Rattus norvegicus: one gene and its partner. The protein of the gene in region 2 interacts with the protein of the main gene of each other region in a biochemical or structural test. Links are inferred from orthologs where the notes say so. Each region holds a gene or a part of one and is shown on either strand. Other genes may lie near its edges.

What was found. The genes of interacting proteins can lie anywhere in the genome.
Region 1: the proteins of Cbx5 (region 2) and Lbr form a complex in vitro, tested with the Homo sapiens proteins (2 studies listed by BioGRID, with this or other methods). The link is inferred for Rattus norvegicus from reciprocal best matches to the Homo sapiens genes CBX5 and LBR.

Annotation. Positions count from the first base shown.
Region 1 is NC_086031.1:96,085,676-96,089,242, reverse strand, and holds part of Lbr (delta(14)-sterol reductase LBR), read left to right. Parts: intron 1-2,282; coding exon 2,283-2,366; intron 2,367-2,755; coding exon 2,756-2,948; intron 2,949-3,567. UniProt on the Homo sapiens protein: Catalyzes the reduction of the C14-unsaturated bond of lanosterol, as part of the metabolic pathway leading to cholesterol biosynthesis.
Region 2 is NC_086025.1:136,212,072-136,215,638, forward strand, and holds part of Cbx5 (chromobox protein homolog 5), read right to left. Parts: intron 1,248-3,567; coding exon 1,147-1,247; coding exon of another isoform or gene 1,143-1,146; exon of another isoform or gene 1,141-1,142; intron 125-1,140; coding exon 1-124. UniProt on the Homo sapiens protein: Component of heterochromatin that recognizes and binds histone H3 tails methylated at 'Lys-9' (H3K9me), leading to epigenetic repression. In contrast, it is excluded from chromatin when 'Tyr-41' of histone H3 is phosphorylated (H3Y41ph).

The DNA.
Region 1 (3,567 bases), on a different chromosome or scaffold from region 2:
CAGTTGGCAGCCTTCTGCTTGGTCACGTTCACTCTTTAAAAATCTTTCCCGTGGAATGACTTTGGTGGTCCATGCAGACGTGGGTGGAGCCAGGGGACCTAGCCAAAAAGTATTTCATCTTATGTAGTATTATAGTTTTTTTACTTTCTTTTTCTTTCTTTTTTCTTTTCTAAGACTGGGTAGCCTAGGCTGGCCAAGAACTTGATAAAAATCCCCCTGTCTCCATTTGTTCAGTTCTGAGATCATAGGGTAAGCTACCACAGTTGATGGATAAATTTTTTTTTTTTTCTTTTTTTCGGAGCTGGGGACCGAACCCAGGGCCTTGCGCTTGCTAGGCAAGCGCTCTACCGCTGAGCTAAATCCCCAACCCCTGGATAAATATTTTAATCATTTGTTCTCAACCTTCCTAATGCTGTGCCCCTTTACAGTAACTCCTCATGTTGTGGTGACCCCACCATAAAATTATTTTGTTGCTACTTCATAACTCTGATTTTGCTATTATGATTCTTAATGTAAGTATTTTGGGGGATAGAAGTTTGCCAAAGGTGTTGTGACCCACAAGTTGAGAGCCCCTGTTTTAGACACTAGCTAGAGCGAAGTAAAAAGAATGCTTTTTTTTTTTTTTTTTGGTTCTTTTTTTTCCGGAGCTGGGGACCGAACCCAGGGCCTTGCGCTTCCTAGGCAAGCGCTCTACCACTGAGCTAAATCCCCAACCCCAAAAAGAATGCTTTTGTATTCTACTCATTTAATGCCATCTCTTCTGGAGACAGAGCACCCGGGCTTCTAATAATCTTAAAAACTAAACGGTGAGTAATGCACTTAGACTTTGAAATGTTAAAATAGTGAGAATAACGTGCCATGTGGTAGTTTCCTCTTTCTGTTGTTACACAGTAAACCTCAAGACACATACATACCTTAGTATTAAAGTTAGTTCTGTGGTGCAACCTTGTGTTTTTCCCTCTCGGTGTTCACTGTTCTAAACGCTTTCTGCAGCATCTCGTCATCTCCTTAGACTTAGCTTGGTCAAGGTGGACAGTGCACAACAGAGGCTTGTAATACGTGTGCTGGACTGGGTGAGCATGCTTGTGCCACCATCAGTACCGTGTGGAATGCTTGCTTTCCATCTGAGGACTGTAACAGCCCCCCCCCCCCCCCCACCGGTTGTCAGAGATTGTCACCTTCTTTTTCAGACTTTGTGCTTCCTTATATGATGGACTTGCTGTTTCTTTGAGTGGCTCTCTACCACGTGGGGGAGGGGCAGATGCTGCTCACTGCTTTCCGTTTCAGCTTCCATCTTCACACTGCCCTTTTATTGATAGAAGAGCTTCGGGTGGCCTTGCCCCTGTCGTCAGAGTCTAACCTGCATGGTGTGTCCAGTTCACATTTAGGCTGCCTCAGCTGTGGACATCACGTGTGAGCTCAGTAATGCACCTCACAGTGTTGAGTGCTCTCTCCTCCTCCTCTGTCCACTCGGGAAGCATTGGCACGTAGTCAGCGTGGGTTAGAGTGAGCTGACTGCTGGCTCACTCCCTGACACTGGGTACACTCCGGCGTATAGCGGGCGCTCTGCTGCTCGCCTGACCTTGAACCCAGTGTGAGCTAATGCTGCCATTGTCGGCTGGTCTGAAGGATGGACTTCTGGAAGCTGAAGCTGGACTTTTGTTTGCTTCTTGACTCAGTAGTGCTTTAGTTGGTTGACAGTCTCTACAGAGGAGAGAAGAGACTGTTGCAGCCATCGCCTTAACAAGCTCTAGCAAGCTAAATTGATTCTCTTTTCTCAGTAAGAAACTATGAGGCTGAGCCGAGAGGGACAGCTAGGGAGGAAAATAATTAAGGGTAAACAACATGTAGCATGAAATGCAAACAGCCAGTCTTCCCACCGTGGGCTGGTTAGGGTCGCTGAAAGTCTTTTCTTCATTTTAATTTGTAGCTAGTGAACGAATTTGCCAAGTTTTACTCACCTGCCTTTCATAGAAATGTTACAGTATGACAGTGAAATTATGGAAACATTAAGTGTGAAAGTGTTTGAAAGAAGGACAGTTAATATAGAAGCCTGTTCCAAAACATAGTGTTGCATAGCTGTAATCCCAGTGCTCAGACAGGGGTTGAGACTGGAGGATTGCCACAAGTTTGAGGCACTGACCTTTTGAGGACCAGGGAGGTCTAGGTGACTTTGTCTCTTGGTTTTTAGCTTGTGTCTGCTGCTTTCCCAGTCGTACCTTGTTATCGTTGCGATGCCTTGCTGGGTCAGGTCTGATTATGTCGGTTCACATTCCATTTAGAAGCCGTTTGCAAACAGCGTCAGTGTGTACAACGGGGAGCCCGAACACATGGAAAAGAGCGCCACACCTCCTAAAAACAAGCAGGTACCCGTACCCTTTGCTTTGTGTCCTTCCGTCAGACTCCACTGGAATTTGTTGTATTTTACTTGTTCATCTTCTGTCTTTAAGACCGTATGTGATTTAACATCTATTCTTTTTTAAACTTCCTAAGATTTATTATATATAAGTACACTGTCGCTGTCTTCAGACACACAGAAGAGGGCATCAGATCCCATTACAGATAGTTGTGAGCCACCATGTGGTTGCTGGGCAAACTCAGGACCTCTGGAAGAGCAGTCAGTGCTCTTGACCACTGAGCCATCTCCCCAGCCTTTAACATTTATTCTTATACATTCTCAGCTCTGTAGAGATGTTGAGTTAGTAGCCTTTGCACTAAATATAGATATTGAATACTGTTTTTTTTTTTAAACTAGGAAAGAGTCATTTTGTCAACAGAAGACAGTTATATAGCTACACAGTACAGCCTTCGCCCCAGAAGAGAAGAGGTCAAAACCAAAAACATAGAGTCCGAGGAACAAAACCTTGTCACCAGAGGACCTGTACCTTTGGGAACCTTTCAAGTGACCACTCCACAGAGGAGGGACTTGGAGTTCGGAGGAGTACCTGGTAGGTGTGAAGGCTCGTTAGGGAGGAGGAGGGTGGCAGAAGCTCTTAGGTGCCCGGGAAAGGCCTTTCTGCAACAGGAAGGGGTTGAGGAGGTGGAGGACTAGGGGAGAACTTTCCAGAAGGAACAGTGGTATGAAGGCCTGAGCTGGGAGCTATGGCGGGATGTGTGTGTGTGTGTGTGTGTGTGTGTGTGTGTATATGTGTGTATGTATATGTGTGTATGTATATGTGTATGTGTATATGTGTATATCTGTATGTGTATGTATGTGTGTATGTGTGTGTATGTATGTGTGTATGTGTGTATATGTGTGTGTGTATATGTGTGTGTATGTATATATATATGTGTGTATGTATGTGTGTGTGTATGTGTGTGTGTGTATGAATGTGTGTGTGTGTGTGTGTATGTATATGTGTGTGTATGTATGTGTGTGTGTGTACAGGATGTGACTGGGAGTGGTACATGGGACACATGGAGGGACAGGTGGGATGATGGGACAAGCCACAATAAGGGGGGTTTACCCTGAGGAAGGGTACAGGACAGCAGTGGTGGTCCTGTAGGGACAGGGAGCTTGCTTGCTAGCGAAGAGTAGAGAAGGCAGGCCCTGGCTGGCATTCACTG
Region 2 (3,567 bases):
GTTTTCCGCATCCTCTGGATACGCATGCCACGTCAGTCTCTCTTCATAAAATGCTATCACAATTTGTGGACATTTCACATTAGCTTCTTTTGCAAGGACCAGGTCAGCTTCATCTGTGTCTTTCCTGGAAAGAAAGGGTACAAGACTTAGAAGGAGACATGAGACTGAGACAGTCTGTCAGTGTCAATGCCTGAGGTTAGCTGGTTTGATATCGAAGTAGAAAAGGCTCTTTACAGGGCTGGAGATATAGCTCAGAGGTGGAGTCTCTGTATTTGACCTTTAGCATCAAAAAATAAACAAAAAATAAAGAGCTGAAGAAATGGCTGTTCTTGCAGAGGACCTGGGCTCAGTTCCTAGCACCTACATGGTACCACAGGACTGCCTGTAATGCCAGTTCCAGGGGATCCAACACCCTCTTCTAGCCTCTGCAGGCGCTGCACACATGGTACACACACACAACATATATATATGGAGGCAAAACACATACACGTAGAAAAAAAATTAAATAGGCAATAAATCTTAAAAGAAAAAGGAAAGGGAGGAAAGGAAAGAGAAGAAAGGAAAAGGCCAGTCAGATATGTGAGTACATGCCTATAACTCTGTAACTCCAGGCCTAGGGAGATGGGGACAGGAGAATGAGTTCAATGTCCTGCACTACATAGTAAGTTCAAGGACACCTTGAGCTACATGAGACCTTGTCAAGAAAGGAGGAAGGGAGGATGGGGAAGTATTCCACTTTCTTCTGTAAGTCACTTTCTCTAATAAAGTAATTTGTGCTTTATTTCTTTATTTAGCATTCAGTTTGATGTCTTTTGTTGAAATTAATTTCTCTTTTAGACATCATTTGGTGACCCTGATCCTCAATGATGTAGGAAGTTTTACTTAGCTCTTACCCCATAGTCATAGGCTAATGATCTCACGGTAAATGATTCAGTTCTATACAGAATTTAGGTAGTAGTAATACTTTTTTTTAATCCAAATATGATTACTATAACACAACAATACCAAAGTTTGAGAATGTCACAAATTTATTCTGAACCATAAATTCCCACTTAATACTGACACTATGGATTAAATTTAGGAATTCTCAATTTCACACTCTTTCTTCATAGCAAAAACACAACTGTGAAGCACAATTCCTCTTACCATTTCATTAAGAACATTAAGTCTCCACAGGAATCTGTCGCCCCAATGATCTTTTCTGGTTCCAGTCCTCTCTCAAAGCCCCGAGCGATATCATTGCTTTGCTATAAATAGAATAGGAGAGATTGGAGCTTGCAGAGATCAAGGAAAAACAAAACAAAACAAAACACCTGTTTTTCTGAGCTACAAATCATAGCCTTTGTTAATATCATCTGTTATCATTTGTCATCAGTTCAGAAAATCCTTGCAACTCAAGAAATCAGAGGCAGCAATGTTATGAGATATTTTTGCAATAGATGTAGTCATCTTCCCTGGTATTCCTTGTAAATGATTAAGGGGGGACCCCCCACAAGTCTTTAGCACCCCAGGAGTCTCAGGAGAATCACCTGGGTACTCCACCCCTCTAAGCTACTCAATCTCTTCAGCACTGCGAGCAGACCCTCCCTCTACTGTGACTTCTCAGACAGCAAACAAGCTCACTTTCACTCTCAACTTCAGATGCTTTCTCGACAATAGCCTTTTAGACTTTTAATTTATCTTAACAGTGGCCAACAGTTTTAATATTTCACAGTCATTTATATTGTAAAACAGAGGTTCAAAGATCACCAACACTAACTTGCATATAACCTGAGAAAGGAGCCTCTGGCCTGCTCAGACTCGCTACTCACATTAATTGGGACTGGTCTGAGACTGCAAACAACTGAACTGACCTCATGAGAGGAGCACAAGGCCTGCTTTAGTCTCTGGCTGATCCAGGTGTGATGACAACAGTCAGAACAAAAAAGTCTAATTTTATACATATTTTTTTCTAAAATTTACAAGAGATAATACAAGCTCACTCATCACAAAGAAAACTTAAGATTTACCATAGGAACCAAATCCCAACCCTCTCTGATCATGACTTGCCTTTGAGCTACAAAAGCAGGCCAGTTAGACAGCTCAGTGGGCAAAAAGGCTTGTAGCCAAGCCCAACAACCTGAGTTCGATCCCTAGGACTCACAGGGTGCACAGGGAGTATCAACTCCCACATATTCCCTGACCCATACCCCTCAAAACAATGAGCAAATACAAAACACACAAACAAATGATTCTGAAATAGATACACAAAAGTCTGCACGGTCCTGGTGGTCCTCAAAGATACCAGAACCCCAAAAGGAAGGAAATCGTAGCCAAGGATCAGTGGGAAGACACTGGCTCTTTAAGACACAACCTCTTTGGGGCATTTAAGGGGAATTGGTTCCCAGATGCAAACACAGCTGCTCACAGCTGGAATGCTGGCACAGTGACTAAGTCATACATCATCTCTGGCAGCTGGAAAGAGTCTGCTACATAGGGAGGGAAATAGAAAAAGAATGTTCAAGCTGCTGAAAGGAGCTGAGGCAAGGAAAACACTAAAATCATCACAGGTAGTAATCTTAAATCAGGCATAAAACCGACTAAGAAATTTCTTCTGCAGTGGTCTAAAAAAAGGCAATCTCCCCATACCTTGAAAACACACAACTACTATGATCATGCCAGCTGTCTACCTGACAGCAGCCAGTATTGCTGAGAATGCTATCAAAGGCCCCAGACAAACATTATGATGTAAAGGGTGTCTGGAGGTTGTTTTCAAGGTCAGCAGCTCCAGAACCTAGACACGAAGCCCTCTGAAGTGGCCGGGGACTCAAATCAAAGCCAGATTACTGCCTTTAAAAGAACAAGACCTTAAGTTGAAGAAATGTTTACTATCTTTCACAATACATAGTTAAAAGTCTTTGATTATTATTTGCTACTTTAACTAGAAATGAACCAAATGACAAAAGTCAGAACACAAAGGGTTAAAAAAAGGTGATACCACCAAGCCCAAAGTTCCAACTTCAATTCCAAGACCAACCTGGTAGAAGAAGGCTACTGTCTTTTTCAAGTTGTTCTCTACCATCCACCCATGTGCAGTCCACACATGCTTAACACATGCGAAATAATAAAATGTACTAAAATATATAAATGAAATTTAAAAAGGGCACAGACAGAGTGAGACCAGCAAGGTCTACACAGTGAGTTTCAGGCCAGCCAAGGTTCATGCATTGTTTGAGACCCCATCTCATACAAACAAACAAACCCCAAAACAAAAAACAAGTCCTCAGAAAATGAAAAGTATTCTTCCCTTAAGTTCCTCATCAATACAGTTTATTATAGTCAGAATATGGCATAGGTTGCAGCCGGTGCTGGCCCTGGCCTTTAATCCCAGTGCTCAAAAGGCAGATGCAAGAGAATCTCTGTGAATCAGACATCAGCCAGGTCTACATAGCCAGCTCCAGGGCAGCCATTACTACACAGAGACCTTGTCTTAGTAAACAAACAAACAAACAAACAAACAAAGAAGTTGTAAAATTAAAATAACAAGAGAAAGAGGTCAGGGACAGCCCCCATAGAGGCCAAGAATTA